Linked DNA regions of Rhinolophus ferrumequinum. The protein of the gene in region 2 interacts with the protein of the main gene of each other region in a biochemical or structural test. Links are inferred from orthologs where the notes say so. Each region holds a gene or a part of one and is shown on either strand. Other genes may lie near its edges. The genes, in order: SF1 and TCERG1.

Region 1 (10,210 bases), on a different chromosome or scaffold from region 2:
ACGTATCAGTGTGCTCGATCAGGCCAGGCCTACTCAGTGTGGGCACCATCACCAGGCTAGACTCTGGCAAGATTAGCCTGTGTCCATTTAACAAGTATTCCCAGAGGAACTCCTCAGTGGCAGGCCCTGGGCTCACAGAGGGGTCACTACCAAGGTGTGCACCAGCCCCCCCGGGAGGGGAGCTGTCCTTGCTTTAGCCTGAGTCTTGAGGGCACATGCATCCACCCATGGCTGACCTTGTGCTTTGAATTGCCGTTCTCCCACGTTTCCCTCTTAGGGGGCTCCCTACCCCTGGGAGCCTCGTCATGCCCCAGGCACTGACCAGGCTGCTCTTGACCAGAGCCTTTGGGCAGGTGAGGCCAAGGGGGCAGGATGGCAGCTGGCCTTGAAGGAGGGTGCGGTGCACAGCAGGACCAGGGCTGCAGAGGGCTGGAAGGCCCTGGATCTAGGTAGAGTCTGAGCAAAGGCCCAGGGGCCAGCTCTCGAGTTTGGCCCAATCTCCCTTCTGATATTCAAGGCAAGTGTTTGAGTAAGAACTTCTCTACACCTGGTTGGCCATTGGGAAATATTTGACACATTTAAATATAAAGCACATTTAAGTGAACGAAAAGATAAGTGGGTGAGTGGTGGGTAGATGGCGACTTACGTGAAGCAGCAGCAGCATCCCCGTCCCAAGGGCCCCAGGCAATTCCATGGTTGTCGTAGTGTCCCCTCGTCCACACTCCAGCAGAGCCCCAGCTGCTCTGACTACCAGTGCCTGGGTTTCTCAGCTGAAATGGGGGTGAGGCCAGGGGAGGAGACAGCCCCTGTGCACTGGCTCAATGGAGGTTGGGAGGGACCTTCCAAGTTCTGAAGGTTTGTCTGCTCCACCTGCAGGGCATTCCATAGGCCAAATGGCGGGGTGACAGGGATATGATTTCCAAATTCCAATTTTTCAGATTTCTTGATAGAAGTGGGAGGTGAGCGGGATCCCTATCAGCAGAGACTCTGATCCCAGGTACCCAGGGACTGATCGGCCCCCAGAGCACCAAGCAGCAGACAGCGCCACCTTGTGGCAGGCTGCCGCAGCTCTGAGCAGCCACCCTTGTCTGAAAAGGTGGTGGTGGGGTTGTCAGAGAGTAATTTGCCTAAATCTGGGATCTGAGAAAAGCAAGAGCCTCTGATAAAATATTGGCTGCCAGAAAAGGCTGGCCAGAAGCCAAAGAAAGATCAAGAAGCCAGGGAATATGCCCTGAGAGACTAAAATTATTTTATTTATGTATTTTTTAATAGGTAGCCCTTGCGTATGGTAAACAATTTTAAAAAAATGCAAAATAGGTACTATGAAACGTCTCCCACTCAGGTCCCAGTTACTTCTGAAGCCTTCTGAAGTGTTTATGCATATGTAGCGGTCCTGTATGTTTCATTCTTCCCTCTTTATACCATGGTCTAACATAATCACACGCACTTTGCATCTTGGTCTTTAAAATCTACCCTGGAGAGCTTTCCATGATCAGTACCTCCCCCTTTGTTGTTTTATAGTCAGTGGTATTCCATTGTATGTATTTCCCATAACGTTAATTTACTGTCATTAGATCCCGATTGATGAAATTTTATGTTGTTTCTATTACTTTGATATTACAAATGACACTGCAATAAATATTCTTATGCCAATGCCCCTCTATATATTCAGGTGTCCTCTAGGGCCAATTCCTGGAGTGGCATTGCTGTGTCAGAGGGGGCCCTGTGTGTCCTTGTGATAGCTACTGTCAAATTGCCCTCCCTGGGCGGAAGCTTCCGGGATGGGTCATATCAGCTTCTCTCGGCCATCCTGTGGGTGAGTGGAAGAGGCGTGGGCACCTCAGGGTGTTTGGGGAGCTGGCCCATACACCAGTTAAGTGAGGGTCAAAAGGAGAACCACCACGAGAATGTGGCCATGTTCACTGGCATGTCCAGCAGTGGGACACTGCTTGCTGCACAGCAGGCCCTTGGGCTTGCTTTCCGAGGGAAGGAATGAGCGTGGTGTGGTGAAGAGGAGGCCCTGGGGTCAGGCCCCTGGACTGGGCGAGCTTGCTGAGCTGCATTTTCCCAGGTACATATCCTAAGTCTGCCTGCAGGGCTGTTGGGAGGATTGAAAATAATGGTAATATACAAAATGCAACAACACAGATGCATCTTGGGTAATGCCAAATTAAAACAGCAAGTTACATAAAATTACACACAGTATGATAGCAAGTCTAAACCACTTCTAGTTGGTGATAGATGCACATGTGAAAAAACTCCATTAGATCAGAAGCAGCACAAAATTCAAAATGATGGTCCCTGGGGGGAGAATGAGAGTGGGGTAACACAGGACCCCAGGAATTTGCAGAGGTATTGGTAATATCTTGGTTGTCAGGCTGGGTGGTAGGTTCACAGGTGTTCAATTAATAATTCAATTCCTAACTCACATAAGGTACACACATCCTTTTGTTTGTATCAAATACTATGTAATAAAACATTTAAGTTTAAATATTTTAAAGTAATCACTCAAAAATGAAAGCTCGATAATGGCTTAAAAAAAAAAAAGCAAAAAAATATAATGCCAAGATAATCCTTTCCTAGATAGTGAAATCAGTATTCTGTGTAGAACTGTGGGCAGATCCCTTTCCCAGTAGTTGCTTTCTTCTATAGTTTCTTTTTAAAAACAGCTTCATCAAGGTATAATCAGCATATAATAAACTGCATATATTAAAAATGTACTATTAAAAATATACTGACACATACACCTGTGAAACCATTACCACAATCAAGATAGCAAACATCTCTGACATCCCCAAAAGCTTCTTCTGCTCTTTGTAATCACACCCTCCAGCTTCTCCTCACCTCCCCATCCCCACGTAACCATTGATCCGCTTTGTGTCACCATAGATGCATTTGCATTTTTCAGAATTTACATAAATAAAATCATACAATATGTCCTCTGTTCTTGTCTGGCTTCTTTCACTGAGCACCATTATTGAGATTCATTCATGTTGTTGCATGTAACAGTCATTCCTTTTTTATTGCCAAGTAGTATTCTCCTGTGTGTATGTACCACAGTGTTTAGCTAGTCACCTGTTGAACATGTGGGCTGTTTCCAGTTTTGGACTATTATAAATAAAGCTATAAACATTTGTGTACCTGTCTGTGTGGCTGTATACTTTCACTTCTCTCAGTAAATACTATGGACAAAAAAGGGGCTTGGTAACAAACCTGATCACAGGGTGATCTGATCATAAATTCCTAACTGGGAAGATCACAGTGGGTAGTCATATAACTTCTTTACTAAAAGGTTTTTCTCTGCCTTAAGCCAGCCCTGTCCATCATTCTTGTGCATCGAGGTTAACACATCTTTGAAATGCCTCTTTTCCAGACCCCTCAGAGGTGTAATCACCCTCAAGAGAGCACATAATCTTAACAACGCCCGCTTTGCTTTCTCCCACCTTCACGTACTCTTCCTTACCTTTCTTCCTTAATTCCCAATGTATAAAAGAAACTGCAAAACTGTCATTCTCCAGAGCATTTTCTCAGTCTGTTGAGATCTTGCTTCCTGGTGTCGATGTAAGAATGTCCAAACCTGGGGCAGCCAAATTGCTCGGTTGGTTAGAGCATGAGCTCTGAAAAGGGTTACCAGTTCAATTCCTACATGGGCCAGTGATCTGTGCCCTCCACAATTAGATTGAAGAAACTGAGCTGCCTCTGAGCTGCCGGAGGCGGGACCAGATGGCTTGGTTGAGCGTGAGCTTGCAGTTCAATTCCCCCAATGGGATGGTGGGGATGGCTACGCCCCCTGCAACTAAGATTGAAAACAGCGACTGGACTTGGAGCTGAGCAGCGCCCTCCACAACTAGATTGAAGGACAATGACTTGGAGCAGATGGGCCCTGGAGAAACACAGTTTCCCAATATTCCCCAATGGAAAAAAACAATGTCCAAACCTGCAGAGAATTTCTGAGTTTATTTGAGCCAACTGACAACATGCCAGGAAGCAAGATTTCAAATGCTCCATATATATGTTACATATGTTACATATAATACATGTTTTATATATATGTTATACTGCACCCTTGTATAAAATCAGGAGGCATCTGATTTTAAGCCCTGAGTGATTTTCTGGAAGGCAGAAACTGAGTTTCTCAGCTCCTCGGTAAAATTTGTTGTATTTACTAAATAAATTAATTTTTCCTTCAAAGTATGATTTAAACGTTATATTTTTGCTTTCCTGTCCACAATATTAGCTTTGTATTTTATTATATAAATACTTGTTCAGTATAATTAGAATAATATACAGAAATAACAGGAAAAAAGGAAAAATTACCTGAGATCCCACCACCACTGGAAATTTGGTGATTGTCCTGTAAATGCATTTCCTTATATGTTATGTAAATAGGATCATGTCATACATTTTTAAAAAGTATGAAGCACATTTTAAAAATACACTAGGTTCTTAAAATGTTTCAGATTAACTTCCAGGTACCCTTTTCCCTCTCCATTGTCTTCACTGATAACGTGTGCTGTGTATCCTACCATAGCTTTGTCTGTACTCATATAATCATTGCAAACATGCACACGCATATATATGGGGTTTGTTTGTTTTACCAAAACAAGATCATATAATGCGTATTTGCTTTTTTTCCCTCATTTAAGAATAAATACAGCACATTAGTCCCTGTAGGTCAGTTGGTATAAACTAACTGCTTTTCAAGGCTGCCTAATTCCAGGTTATGGATATTACAGTTTGTTCAACCATTCACATATGGATGGAAACTGATTCCAGGTTTTTGCCATGAGAATATATTACATTATATAATCACAGGCCTTACTTTGGGGCAGATTCCCACGAGAGGGATTGCTACATTGAAAGGGTTATTATTTTTCCTGAAAGGGGTACAATTTTAATAGACAACAGAATGCTTTCCAAAAAAGAACTTCACAGTAGTAGGTGTCAGCACATTTGTCTTTAGCTCTTTTAATGGTTATATAAAGAGTTTGCTCATTATCACCTTAATTTGCATTTCCCTGCTAAGGGGGTTGGTATCCTTTCATGTTTTTGGCTATTTGTTCTTGCTTTTCTAAGACTTCCCTATTCAGTCTTTGCTCGTTACCTATTGATTTTGTCTTTTTAAAATTAGTTTTGAAGACCTTTCATATTAAAGATATTAACTCTATCACGTGTGGCAATTATATTTTTCTGACATTTTCTTTTGAATTTTATCACTTTGAATTTCTTTGGTAATCAAGTATATCTTCTCTTTATAGTTCGAGTTGCCTGTCTTCATAAACTCTACCCCTAGATTACGCCTCATAAATTGTATTGTCTGTTTTATGGTTTAGATTCAAGATTCCATACCATTAGCTAAAACTTACGGAACTGAAACCACCTTTGTGGTATTCTTACCAGTATATTGGTAATCTATATCCAGACTTTATTCTGTGCCACTTATCTGTCTTTCCTACATCATTCTTGTGTCTTTCATACTGTGTTACCTGGAAAGGCCAGCTCCTCCTCAATCTTGTTTACAAGTTTGCCCACTATTTTCAGTTATTTTATATGATTTTAAGATGACTTAATTAACCACCACCCCGCTGAGACTTTAATGGAATTGCATATGTGTAAACTAATTTTAGAATTGACTTTATGTTCTTTTCCACATAAAATTGTGTTGTTCCATCGGCTCAGGTGTTTTTAATCCTTCAATTAGACTATAGCTTTTTCCCCCCTTTTTATTTTTGTTCAAAGAAAACAGGAAGTCCTTTTTTACCTGCGGCGTCAACGGATCCGGTTTACGGGCACGCGCCGGCCCCACCCCTAGCCCGCGGTTCCGTGTTACCATGGGAATCGAGGATTGACGTCACTTTGGGCTTTCCGCTCCGGACCCAGTGAACAACCGTGAAGGTAGGGGCGGAGGCGGCTTTGACCCATCTACGCATGAGCGCTCCTACTCCACTCCTCCCCGCCGTAAATTTCGTACCGCCGTGGCTTTTCCGCAGCGACCTTTCGCTTACTCCCATCGAAACTGCTCCCCAGGGACGGGGAGTGGAAAAAGACTCGAACAAGAGACAGCCAATCCTATGACACTACGATGCAACCGAGTTTGACTGATTCCATCAACTGCAGCCAATGAGAGCGCTCTTGGCGCCTACGTCATAGTTTGCCCCACCCTAACCCCGCCTTTCTGGACTCCGAGCTCAGTTCGCGCAGTAACAAATGAAGTGCGCGCTGCGACACCTCCCAGCTCGCCAGGCTCGGCCGCCATTTCCTCGCCTGGCCTAACGGTCCGGCCAATCCCAGCGCGCATCGAGAAGGACTGAAGCTCCGCCAATTGGAGGCTGCCAATTCCGACCCTTTGCCTCGGCCCGGCCCAATCCAGGCTTCTGCCCCTTCGCCCCCGGCCCGCCCCCGCGGCGGCCTCTCTCCTCCCTCTTTGTGCGTCTCGCGCCGCCGCCGCCCGCCGCGTGAGAGGACGGGTTCCGCGCGCTAGCGCTGCGACTCCCTCCCCCCCTCCCCGAAAGATTCGCTAAGGAAAAGCCGCCGCCGAGGAGCCGCCGGTGCCGGTCCCCCGGGGCGCCATGGCGACCGGAGCAAACGCCACGCCGCTGGGTAAGCTGGGCCCCCCCCCCGGCCTTCCCTCCCTTCCCGGGCCCAAAGGGGGTTTCGAGCCGGGGTCACCGCCTGCCCCCAGACCTGGGGCGGAACTGCTGGTACCCAGGCCGCTACTTCCCCCGCCCGTAGGCTCGGTGGGGGCCCTGACCGCGGCCTTCCCGTTCGCGGCGCTGCCTCCGCCGCCGCCCCCCCCACCGCCGCCACCGCCCTCCCCGTGCTCCTCGTACCCGCCGCCGCAGCCGCCCTCTCCGCCGCCGCTCTACCAGCGCGTGTCGCCGCTGCCACCCCAGCCGCCGCGTCAGGACCAGCAGCCGGGCCCGGCCGGCGGCGGAGGAGGTGAGTCGGGCCGAGAGAGCGCGAGAGGCGTCGTGCGGACGGGCCCGGCCGGCGGAGGGGCGCGCGGCAGCGGTGACGGCGGCGGCTGCACGCGGCAGGGGCGCGCGCGCGCACGGGGAGGCCCTGGCGGAGGCGCTACAGGGCGCGCGGCCTGGTTTTCGGGCCTAGAGTGTTGCGCACGCGCTCTGGGAGAAGGGGGGGCGGATCAGGGCGGGAGGTTTGCTGTGCGCAGGCGCGGTGTGCGGCCCGACCAAACCTGGGGGGCCCGCTGTTGCTCTCTAGCCCCAGGTGTAGGGGAGAGGTGTGGAAGGGTTCGAGTAGGTGGACAGGGTGTTTGTTGGGTGTGCAGGTCAGGAGGGTGTGAAAGGGTCAAGTGATGACGTGGAACATCCTCTTCCTGGTGGTAGAGGAGTCTGAAAGAGAGAAAAGTACCCAAAATAGCTCGTCGATTTCGGCTGCAAAGCAGGGTTTTTCCACTACAGAGAACAAAAGAGGTTGAAAGTCTTCAGGGCCTAATGGGGTCCAATCTGTTGTGTCTGTTGAGGGAGCTTCTGTTTTTTGCCTGACTTTCCTTCATGTACCTTAGAGGATTCTGGTATACCTCCCCCTCGTTGGGGCTTCCACCTGGGACGCTGAACAACTTGTGTGTGTTAAATGTAGGGGATTTCTGCCTTTGTATTGAGGAAGGAGGTTTTGAGTGTTGTGTACTTTGTTCTTTGTTGAACGTTTGGTAGTCAAGACACTAAGTTCCCAAATAGCCAGGAAAATTGAATGCTGATCTTGACTAAACTTCGGAAGACAAAAGTGATCTTGTTGAAGAATCCAGCCCTAGGTTTAGTTGTGCTAAAGGTGACTGGTGGGGGTGTGGAGGTGGGAGGGGCCAGCAATCCTCCAATATAACTTGACAAATTTGTTTGGTTATTCATTCTATTCTTACCTTCCCTGGGGCTTTTAAAGCATTCGTGGGTGATGTAGTATTTATTTTGTCAATACTTTTATTTCTCTGTCTGAAATTTCATGCATTAAGATTTATTACCTTGTTTACATACTTCACAGAGTTTCTCTGAAATGTTAACTTTTCGGAACCAGGTCCAGGTCCCCTTGTAGTGGCCATATGTGTCTGATTTTTTTAGGTTGGTCTTGGTCTTCTGTTCTTCGCCACTTCCATTGTAGGTCAAGCTCTGTTTCCCAGTCTGCTGAGACTAATGTCACAAATATGCCAAATTGCCTGTTGATAGCTACTCTGCTGGTTTTTGTTTGCATCTGATGGAGTTTATCTGCCTTCAGACTTCCCAAGTAAGAAGCGGAAGAGGAGCCGGTGGAACCAAGACACAATGGAACAGAAGACCGTGATTCCAGGAATGCCTACAGTTATCCCCCCTGGACTTACTCGGGAACAAGAAAGAGCTTATATAGGTAAATACACGTTCTGCACCCAAGTGCAATTTCAGATCGTTACTATTGTGAGCAACATTTTATCTGTGGAAAGTTGGAGGCTTTAAAGTTTTCTTTTTTGAGATGAGATATGGTCAGGTATGCTTTCACGATTTTGACATAATTTTTCAGTTTTTGCTCTGTGAGTCCTGCATTTGCAGCTCCTTGTTTTGGTCTATGTATAACAGCAGTGTTCTCCATGAGTTCCAGGAAAGTAGAGGGGCCCACTTAGGAGTGAGAATAGTCCCCAGTTCAGCACCCCACCCCACTCTTTTCAGCTGCTGTTCATTGCCAGTTGATGAGGTGAGTGTCTCCTGCTTCTCTGCACACGACCCCAATGGAGAACACTGCAAGTGTTGCATAACCAAGTACCTTCTTCAGAGCGTGGCCTTGCACCATAATTTCATATTCCTCCTTTCCCCTAAAATGTGGTCTTTTACTTTTTATAGGTGCTTTCTGAAAGGAAAAAAACTCACTTTAATCAAAAAGTGGTTCTGGAAGTGTTTACAGTGCACCCCCTTCTTACCATTTCGTTGAGTTTTAACCTTTCCTTCAGCATCTTGCCTGGTTTGGTCTTTGGAGAGCTGTCTTAAAATGAGGGCTCTTATATTTACTACGAAAGAATTCAAAGAATTCTGCTGGGAAAGGGATATTGCTTGGATACGGAATAAGTTACTAGGATAAAAGATCTCAACTGTTGGGAAATTTTAAGAATTAAGAATGACTGTCCACAGTGGAAATGAAATTAACCTTAAAATTTCCTTTTTTAAAATACAAGGTTATTAATACAAGTTTTACTTTTATTTATGTACTTGTGCGGCTGTCTCAAAAAAGTTCACTTGATATATATTTTCTTACTAACCAAATAAACATCCCCTTTGGAATAAATTAGGGCAAAGGTCTCCTAGACCTATGGGTCCATGGCCTTCACAAAAAGCTTTAAGGCTGGCATGTTATTCTTGAGGCTCATAATCTCTTACATGTTTTAGACTGCTAAGAATTGGATTTGAGATACTGGAATTGTCTAATGTTCACAGTACTAATATTTCTTCTTTCCCTATTATTTCTATCTACTACCACCCACCCCCTTACGTCTCAGATTGGTCTGGGTCTTCACAACCTTGTGAAAATGTCCCTAGTGGAGCGACTTACAAAATGGGAAAACAAATTCATTCTTTATATGTCCACTTCTCTTCTTGTGGAAGGAGTTAATGCCCTGAGCTCTAAGGTCTATTTATATCTATAATAAAAGTAGCAAGAATCAAAGTGGAGGCTGCTATGGATCTCTGCTGTAAGGAAGAGAGCAACCTTTTGATTTAAGTGCCAGTTATTTCCTGAGATCAGACTCCAAGCCCCTATAATCTGGTTAAGAGGACTGCTGACCCACCGTGAAGGTGACTTTCACCTTGCGTTGTTGAGCTTAGTACTTGCCCTCCGTGTCAGAACTTCTCTGGCATAAAAGAGCTTAGGGAGCCCTGAGTCTTACTCCTCTTCTGTCTCTCACAGTACACACTGTCTTGTACAGAGTGCCCACCATATCTTCTGAGAGCGATGTGGGTTTTCATATTTTCAGTTTGAATGGGTGTGTGGTGCAGCCCTGTGGGATGTAGTTAGAATTAGAAGGGTATCTTGGATTAGACATGCATTAATCCTGTCTTGAACCAGTTCAACTTTAACCCAACCCAGTAAGACTTGCCCTTATTAGAGATGTCTGCTCAGAACTCTCAGGTGCTACAGGTAAGAAACAGGTGGTTATTCAGCACGCTGAAGAAAGTGATCTGGCTCAGCAAGTCCCATTATCATGAGAAATCAGCCAGATAACATTTCCCTGCAGTCA
Region 2 (10,285 bases):
GATTTGCCAAATGGACAAATAAACTATCTCTGAACACCCAATTGGAACGCTTGATCTGATACATTTTTGTAATGAAGAAGTAACGTCTAAAATGGTGAGTTATTGCTATAGCAATACAAAATTATTACCTCATCCCATCCGGAGGCTGGTGTGGTACTTAATGACACCGCAGATGTGGAGTTTTGTAAATTTTAAGAGAGCTTTCAATCAGATTTAAGTGAGGTTCTAGTCCTGTCTCTGCCACTAACCGCGTATGTGACTGTGAGAAAGTTAATAATCGAACTCTCAGGGTCTCTATTTCCTCATCTGCAGACAAAGAATATTGGACGAGATGATCTGAAAGAGTCCTTTCAGCTCTTTAATCAACGTCTTTTGTAATTTCTCCAGGTGATAATTTTGGGGAAATTGTATATGAAAGATAGTATTTGAAATAATTGCATTATAACTGCATCATAAATATCACCTTTGCATAAGGGTTCCTGAGATATTGTTGTTCTTGTTTTAATTTTGAGAAACAGAAAAAAAGTTAATAGTGCGATTTTAGAGTTAAAATGAACTATAAAATACATAATTGTTTTTGATAAAAGAAGAAAAGAGAGAGCCCTGCAGCCCACTTCAGTAGAAGAATAGTGTTGACTTTACACAAGGGATATGATTAACTGCTTATGTTAATAAACCAAGAGACTGTAAATGTGTTATTATGTATTTTGGGACAAATCCAAAGTTCCTGAGAGTTAAGTGAAACTAGTAAAATGCACACACAATGGACTTAGATATAGTCATCTATATTAATAGACCAAGAGATTACAAATGTGTGGTTGATTATTCCAGAACAAATCCAAATTAGCGTAATCTTAGGGAATGTGATTATCATTTAATAAGTGGAAACCTAAGTAATCATATGGTGTTCTATTGGGAAAAAATGTGGCAACAAAACACAGAAGGTCAGCCTAGAGCAGTGTACTCTACTTTCTGGCTCAGAAATCCCAGGTGGTTCATGGAATTATCTTAAGGGTTTGCAAATTCATGAGCCCATCAACCATTCATTGTTGATTGAGTCAGCCAGTGGCGTCAGTAATAAAAATGACTTCCTTTCTGTTTGTTTCCTGTAAAGCAGAATAGAAAAGAACAAGTTTCTTTTTGAATTTTCTTCTAGCTAGAGAAATAGGAAGAGGTTCTGGGTAGGGCAGAGAGTTCCCCAATGCAAGGGTAGGCACAGATGGTCTAAGTGGAAGGTATATCTTTATTTGGAATAGAGAATCATCAGGTTCTCATGACTCAGTGACATTAAAAATTCAAATCCAGTAATTGATTGCCCTTGTTCTACTTCCAATCAGATTTAGCTGCTTTCTGATAATTTTACTTACTCTGTAAGTTTGCCCAGAGAGGAGGGAAATGTATGGTCCACGTGACAGTTGTAATTTTATTTTTTGTAAATTAATAAATTTGCATTCTGGTTTATGGAGATGGGTCTTTATGTGCTCAGTTAAAAGTGAATGTCCTTGACTTTGGGTGCAGCCTTATTTTGCCAGCAAAATCTATTTGGGGGACTGTGAAGCTAGGATTGCAATCCTTAACCTCATGTATTTCCCAAGGTCAAGGGTACATCGGGAGCTCGTTTGGTGCTCCTGTGGCTGCCTTTTCTAGGGGTACCCCTGTGTGCTGCTTGCTTTTATCAATGGGACGAGCAGCTTGTCTAATCCGCTTATCTTGTCGATGGACAGACTAAGTCATACATTATAATATGGCTGTGGTTCCCACCTTCTATTATTTGCATCATGGATTGCTAGCTATCTGGAAGCTTAAAACATATCTAAAAAATGCCTTATTTTTTAATGATTTTGGACTTACAGAAGAGTTGCAAAGTTAGTACAGAGATACTCTGCACCCAGCTTCCCTTAGTGTTAACATATTACTTAGCCATGGTACATTTATCAAAGCTAAGTGGTACGATAGTAAGTAAACTAACTATATTTTATTCAGATTTCCTCGGTTTTCCCCACTAGTGTCCTTTTCCTCTTCCCAGATGCAATCCACGATACCCAATTGCATTAGTTGTCATATTTCCTTTGCTGCTTTAAATCTGTGACAGCTGCTCAATCTTAACCTGTCTTTCACGACTTAGACACTTTTGAAGAGTATTGATCAGATAATTTATAGAATGTCCCTCAATTTGTGTTTGCTTAATGTTTCCTCAGGGTTAGACAGAGGTTATGGATTTTGGGGAAGAATACCACAGAGGTGAAGAGCCCTTCTTATCACATCCTATCCGGGGTGCATGCCATTCCTGAAGATGCTAACCTCGATCACTTGGTTAATATGGCATCTGCCAGGATTCTCCACTGGAAGTGTCACCTCTGTTAGGTAGAGTCACTAAGTTCAACCTGTGATATTGTGGTTTATAAGCAATATGTATTTGGTCATTCAGATCGAAGAAAGAGTGAAGATGGTGAATATATAAAATGGAGTCATTTTAACCAAACTGTTAAAATTATTAACAATATGAAGTTCAGCTGTCGCATGAAGAAAGACTCCATTCTTTTTCTAACTAGCCTGGGAACTTAAACTTTTTTGAATTTTCCAGTCCTGCATCAATGCCTGGATATACATCTGGACCTCCAGGTAACCCTCTATTTAACCCTCTAGTTATCTAGTGTATGTGAAGGACTCACATATACATCCACATGACATCCATTATCCAGACAACCAGGAAGTTACCAGACATCCTGCCACCTATCTTCTGGACCACCTGGCATCCATCATCCAGACTGCCTGACATCTGACTGATACCTGTCTTGGACTAATGCTAGGACTAAGAATGCAAGACTGATAATTTTCAAGAATGTACTGTTTATTATAAGAACTTTTTTCTTTCATCTTTGGAACACTCCTGGGTTTTTGTCTAGCTGTGTTCCCACTTTGCAAACTATAAGACCCTTGAATAAATCTCTATCATGTATTTCTAGCAAAGCCTCCAGACTTTTTTTGAGTTTGTCTGACAAGATGAGCAAAATATATTTCTCATATATATTTGGTCTTTATCCACAATGCCTGGCTTACAGCTCCCTGAACTCTTGGAATCTCCTAAGTGTTGAGAGTGAAACAAATAAAGAAGCTGAAGCTATGAGAAATCAAGTAACTTGCTTGCCCAGGATTACACAGCCATTAGTTAGTAGAGGCAGGACTAGACTCCTCATCTCATTAATTCCAAAGCTGTTAACAACTGCTACCCAAACTGCCTGTGAGGCAGCCAGCAGGTGTATCTGGTCAGGCATTTTCCATTTCTGAGATCTCTTTAAATGTTTCAAAGACCAATATATCCAGTAAGGAGTAATATAGCTGCACAGTACAGTCGACAGTGCTGGCCTTACATGTGCATGCATACTTCACTAGGGGCTGGAGATTCGGTGAGGAAAGTAGAGAGTCTTTTAAAAGTATTTACAGTCTACAGAAAAGAGAAAGAAATGATACATTAGCTATGCTACCTTTCTGGCTTGAGTGAGACAGGGATTTAGCTGTCCCCAATTGGCTTTGGTGTGAGATACACCTGCCCTTGAATCCTAGCTTCACCTCTTATTACCGGTGTGAATGCCAATTTGCACCAGTTATGTAATGTCTCTGAGCCTCAGCTTCCCCATATGTAAAATGCGGGACAATATGTGTGCCTTAAAGGGCCGTTAAGGGTATTAAAAAGAGTGTGTGCAAAATATCTACCATGGGTTTAAGATAGGTGTTCAAAAATGGTAGTTATTAAAAAGAAAAGCCTGATTCAGCATTGGAACCTCTTCTCAAGAGTCACTTCTGAGGAGTGACTTCATAGCCAGGACTTAGAGCCTTGATGATATTAATTTGTCTTAAGCCAACCCTGTTTCTTTACCTCACTTGGTATACTAAGTTTTGGGGTCTATAATTCAATTGCCGTCAATTGGGCAAGGACAGTATTTGTTTTTCTGTTCTCTATAGCTATGCACATTTTTAGTACCCTGAGATATATCAAGCTTTGATGACAGGAAAATCCATTTGGTTTTTTAAAAGATATTATACATTGAGTCTCTTTAATTATTTTCTTCACGTTGATTCAATAAAATGGTTCACTGTAGACACAGCTCAGATTAGATATTTGCGGTATTTTTATATAGCTATTGAGTACTGAATTTCAAGGATATGTTTATGTGAGTAAACTACAGCAATGAAACACTGAAATGATTTTCTATATATGTATATAATCATATGCATATACATAGTCACATGTATACAAGCCTGCTCTATATAAAAATAATACAAGATATAAATATCTTAAAATATATATAGATATACAAACACAATGCAATTATCAAATAATAAAACTTTTATTACATCTGCAAGGAGTTTCTTTCATTCATTCAAACTGACTGTTTTCATCTTTTATGTATGCCTTTGACAGGATTTCTATAAGGGATCCATTTTGAATTTTTTTTTCCAGCACTGGGGATTAGTTTTTTATGAGCTTCAATACCAGTATTATTTTTTGAGTAGTTTGGCAGTACTTGGGGATGCATGCTGATGTTGAAAAAAGGGATTTAACCTCCCACTCTTAATCAGACTCCGGTTTTTCAAATGTCATATATTTAATGAAATTTCAATCATCTTTTCCTTCTCCAATTTCTTATGCTCAAAACTGTGTTCAGTTCTTATCATATTTTGTCACATTTAATTGATTTTGAATATTTAACTGGGATTCAGCATAACATTGTATTTACTGAATTATAATTCACATACAATAAAATTCACATTTTAAAGTGTATAATGCAATGAGTTTTAGTATATTCACCAACTTGTGCAATCATCACCACTATCTAACTTCAGAACATTTTCATCAACCCCACAGAAATCCCATACCCATTAGCTATCACTCTCTCCTTCTCCTGGAAACCACTGATCTACTTTCTGTCTCTGGGGATTTGCCTATTCTGGACACTTCATGGAAATGGAATAACACAATATGTATCTTTTTGTGTCTGGCTTCTCACTTTGCATAATGTTTTCAAGGTTCATCCATGTTAAAGCATGTAGTGGTGCTTCATCACATTTTATGGCTGAATAATATTCCTTTGTATGGATATACCATGTTTCTTTATTCACTCATCAGTTGATTTGATGTTTGGGTTGATTCCACGTTTGGCTATTAAGAATAATGCTGCTATGAACATTTGTGTATGAGTTTTTGTATGGATGTATGTTGCCAATTTTCTTGGCTCAGGATGTTTAGAAATAAGGCTTTGCTGTTATTATTGCCTTGTCTGCCATTTACAAGCCACGTGAACTTGGACAAGTTACTTTTCTGTGCCTCAGTCGCATTTATAAACTATGGCCATTCATAGTACCCACGTCTCAGTGTTTTTGAGGTCTAAACGACAGAATGCGTGCAAAGTACTTAAGATAGTTCCCAGTATTTATAGTTAGGTCTGAGTAAATTTATTTTAATATTTTGAGCAACTTAATAAGGTTTATCTTCATTGTGCCTTTGAAACCCCAGAGCCTAAAGTATTTTTTGTGTTTTTTTTTTCCTTTAATAAGAAATAAATATTCAGAATTCCTTCTGGGTATTAGGGTGTGCTAATTTGAGACAAGTGTATTTTAAAATTGAAGAACAGATGCTTTAAACTGTAAATTGTGATGAAGAGGCTTATGTTCCCCAACTTATCTTAATGCACCAACTTTTAACACTCATCAGCCTACAACTAATTATTTAATATAATTTAGGAGGTATTCTTGTACCGTGTTTCCCTGAAAATAAGCCCGGGTCTTATATTAAGTTTTGCTCCAAAAGACACATTAAGATTCATGTTCAGGGGATTTCATCCTGAAAAATCATGTTAGGGCTTATTTTCTGGTTAGATCTTATTTTCGGGGAAACACAGTAGTTAACTAATTTATTATTTAATAACGTGGCTATAATCTGGTAATGGTTTAAGACTCCTTGTTCTGAAGAGTTGGGAAATAGCTCATTTTCACAGCAACTCTGTGATTGGTCTAGGCATGACTCAGGTCGATTTTTAATTGGCTCACGCAATAGAAATGGTCTCGGACTGAACCAATATCGCCAGTATGTGGCCAATATGGCTCCACAACTGGTTTTCCTGGAAGCCGGCAGACACGTGGCTACCGCAGGCCGTCAGTACGTGGGAGGACCTAGTTTTGCCTACCACCAGAGGGCGCCCGCAGTTCCTCGTTGCTTAAGTCTCATTTCCCATAAAGCCTCCGGGCGACCAATCAACCGGCTGTCTCCTTACCGCTTTCAAAGTCGGCGGGCGCTTTCACCAATAGTAAGGCAGATGCCGCCCTCAGCTCTAGGATTGATGGAAAGTATCACCAATCATTTCACAGATCCCTAATGTCTCCGCCTCTCTCGCACGGGATTGATGATCCGTCCGGCCAATAGTGGACGTCGAGTCGGCGGGTGGATGAACGCGGCCCTCTGTAATGGCGGAGCGTGGCGGGGACGGGGGGGACGGTGAGCGATTCAACCCGGGGGAGCTCAGGTAAGGGGCCCCGCTCTTTATTACTTCTCAGCATGCTGGAGTCCCGGGATGGGCCCGCCGCGCGAAGATGAGGGGTGGAGGGTGGGCAGAGGAGCCGCGGCGGCTCGGGGCCAGGACCGCATGGGGTTGGAGAAGGGGGAAGGGGAAGGTGGCTTGAATGAGAGAGCCGGGCTGGGACTGGGCCGCGGCCTCCTGCGTGTTCTCGGGGAGCTCCTTGTGGTTTTCGCGGCCCCAGCGCTTCTGGCGGCTGCGGCCGGGAGGCCGGGCCAGACATTCCCGCCTCGGGGCCCCTCCTCAGCCTCATGCCCCCTCCGCCTCGGCCCACCACAGCCTCCCTCTCGGCTCGCGCCTCCGCGGGCCCGCTTTGCCTTACGGACACCTCTCCACTCCGCAGTTAACTCCCTGAGACCCCTCACTACTTCTGACTCAGCCTTCTCCACGCCCTACGCGGCCCTTTGGAGGTTTCTACTTTTGCCCGGTTCCTTCCGTACGTCGCTTGCTCTTAATGTCTTGTGGCTTTTCCTCTAATCTTTTTATCCCGTATCCCGTATTTGTGAATAATAACAATAGCAGCCACCGTTTGTCACTTACTTCTATATGCCAACGAGCCCTTTACTTAGAGTTGTCTCATTTAATCCTCACAACCGACCTTCGGAGTAGTTGCTTTTCGCATTTTGCATGCCACAGACCAGAGCCACCTTAAGTTACTCGTAAGTCCATTTTACAGGTGAGAAAACTGAGACTGGCATAGGTTGAGGAAGTAGAAGAACAAGGTCTCATAGGTGAAACTGTGGCTCCTGGAAATGGCTTGAACCCAGACAGTCAGGCTCCAGAGCCTGCAGCCTCAATCGCTGTGTCTGCTCACGCCTTCGCCCTAAAGAGTACAGTGAGCTTTCTTCTTCTGGTGTCTCATTGCCTATGGAATTTTCTAATTAAGATTTGGGAAAGTGAAAGTGTCTTGGAAAAGTCTTTAGTCAGTGGTTTTTGAGGAAAAAGAGGTACTAAGCTTTATGTATCTTTGATACATTTTTTTTTTTTCCGTGGATGGGGAAAAATGTCATTTCAGATGTTCAGCTCCCATTCTGAATTGTGCCATTGTCAGCATTTGAAACTAAAACAGACCAGTGTAGGTTACGAGCAGTGTATAGTACTGTCTAGAGCTCAAGATGAAATTGTATAAAAAATGAGCTCAAGGTTTTAGGGCAAAAATATATATATATAATGGCTTTTAGTTTCTGAATTGTCACACACAAAAATCCTTACTTTGGCAGGAGTAAAATTTTGTCTTACTTCAGAGATGAATCTCAAATCCTTTAAACCCCACGTTTTTACTTTAGTAATGAGTGATCAGTGTGCACTGCCAGGGCTTTTCTGTATCAGTGGTGGAAGGTTTATTCCTGACTCTGATCTCAAGAGAAGGATACTTAGCTAGTTTCATATGGATTTACGTGGGAACAGTACTTTGCGTTTTTGAGTATCTTTCTTCAGCTTTACAAGGAGTAGCCTTTTCATTTTATTAATAGTCATTCAGACTTTGTACTAAACTGATTTGAATATGTCCTTAAATTAGATGTTTTGTTGCAAATATGTAGCCTCTTGGGTTGGAGGTTGCTTCCAGAGCATATTGTACAGACCTTTATTTCAGCATTTCTCATGGTTTAAGAGAAATTAGCTGTTTATCTGGCCTCTTTGATGGTAGAAATTGGGGCTTAGTGTTTGTATTTGTATCCTGAAAGTATTTCGTTGTGTGTCTGTCATAGTACCTAGCAAATAAGGTGTTCAGTGAATATATAGTAAACAAAGGAATATAGGTGATTTTGAGATGGTTCACTTAGTAGACCCATGAATGTGTGCTATGTGCAGTCACCGACCTAGGTGACTTGAACTAGACCAAAATCCTTTGTCCTCAAGGAGCTTCCATGCTAATTAAGATTGTTCTAAATTCTGAACTAATCACATCCAATGAGGAAATCATCCTGCAAGTTTGAAGTGACTTGTACAAGGTCACTGAGTAATTGGCAGAGTCTGGATTAAAACCGAGGTCCCTTCCCACATGTCAGCAGCACTTTTCCATTTTTGCCCCGCCTATTAAACTATTTGCAGTTTTGTCTTCACCATTGGGGAGATTGCATATGTGGATAGAGTACTTCTAGAGAAACACATTTGTTCTTGTAAAAAAATTTTTTTGTTTCTATTTATGCGGTAGGCTTCTGTTTTCTGAAAAGGTTTTAAGTAATAGGAATGCAAATAACTTACAATAGACAGAATTTATTTGGAAATCCAAATGCCATTGATCTCTTTATGGTTGAGGGCCATTAAGATAACTTTTAGCATCGTATTTGTAAAGATTCTTTACCCAGGGCCTTTGTTTACTTATTAATACTTCGTGACTTGTGACAGGGTACTTGCAGTCTAAATTTCCTCAATTGTAAAATGGGAATAAGAATACACTAGTGTTACCATTGACTGCTGCCATAAACAAGTTATTTTTCTGTGCCATAGTTTCCTCTGTAAAAATGGTGCCAAACTTACCTCTTTGTGTTGTTGTGAGGATTAAAAGAGTTAGTACATATAATGTCCATGGATATATATCCATGCCTAGTATATAGGAAGTACCTAGTGTTTGCTATCATTATTAAAAAAATATTTGAACACTTACCATCCTCGGCACTGGGATGCCGCAGTATACTAAGGGAAAACTATGTATTAGTGAGTGGACTACAAACGTAAACAGTGAGAGATTTCTTCATAGCATTTATCGTACGTAATTGAAAACTCGAATTGGGTAATGAGCCACAGAGGGTCTGCGAGAGGCCAGGAGGGGGGAAAGAGTTTGAGGTAACACTTGAACTGAGACTGATAATGAAAAGGAGCCAGTTATGTAAGGAGCTGGGGAAAAGCATTCCAGGCAGAGGGAACAAGTGCAGAGGCTTCAAGGTAACGAAGTATTTGATCATAAAGAAGACTAGAATCTGTAGAGAGGTCAAAAAGGGACAAATTATGTAGAGCCTGGTAGTAATAATTATAGTAATAATAATAGCTGCCACTATTACTAATACTAACGCCATTTAACACTAATACTATTACTGCTATACTAATGTTACAGCAACAGTAATAAAAGCTAATACTTACAGAGCACTAATGTGCTAGGCATTGTTCCAAGTACTTTATTAGCTCATTTAATCCTTACTGCAGGTTCTGGTAGGTTGGTTGTGATGGAGCAGTGTTTATAAAGAGCTATACATCTGGCATCAGAAAATGGCACCTTTTAGGCTGCCGATGGAGGAAATTGTGTGAATTTTGTCACCATTTTAATGTCAGACTTTTGAAAGCCATCTAGTCAAACTGACAACTAAGTGCCTTTTACATGTAGAGCACTGTGCTAGGTTTTGTAGGGAAATCAAAGTTGAGATAGTTAAAGTGGTTTACTGCGTATCAGGTACTGTCCTAAATTTTTCACGGGGATTAGCTCATTGAACAGAGATATGAGATAGGTTTTATTTCTATTCCTTCGCTAATTTACATCTGAATATACTCAGACTCAGAAATTATGTAACTAGTCTGACAACAAAAGGCAGAGCCATGATTTGACTTTTCGTGACTCTAAAGCCGAAACACTTAATTCAAGCTATATCTAGGAAGTGTGAAATTCTAAAGAAATACTGTAGAATTTTTGAAAAGGGAGAGTTAGCCTCAAAGGAAATCTAAGATTAAGGTACATTATTAACTCAAGGCTGAAACAGAATAGCTTTCCTTGGTAGTAA

Evidence for each region.
Region 1: the proteins of TCERG1 (region 2) and SF1 form a complex in vitro, tested with the Homo sapiens proteins (3 studies listed by BioGRID). The link is inferred for Rhinolophus ferrumequinum from reciprocal best matches to the Homo sapiens genes TCERG1 and SF1.

Annotation. Positions count from the first base shown.
Region 1 is NC_046294.1:6,765,983-6,776,192, forward strand, and holds the start of SF1 (splicing factor 1), read left to right. Parts: upstream 1-6,180; 5' UTR 6,181-6,569; coding exon 6,570-6,939; intron 6,940-8,226; coding exon 8,227-8,355; intron 8,356-10,210. UniProt on the Homo sapiens protein: Necessary for the ATP-dependent first step of spliceosome assembly. Binds to the intron branch point sequence (BPS) 5'-UACUAAC-3' of the pre-mRNA. May act as transcription repressor.
Region 2 is NC_046307.1:19,544,381-19,554,665, forward strand, and holds the start of TCERG1 (transcription elongation regulator 1), read left to right. Parts: upstream 1-6,420; 5' UTR 6,421-6,462; coding exon 6,463-6,521; intron 6,522-10,285. UniProt on the Homo sapiens protein: Transcription factor that binds RNA polymerase II and inhibits the elongation of transcripts from target promoters. Regulates transcription elongation in a TATA box-dependent manner.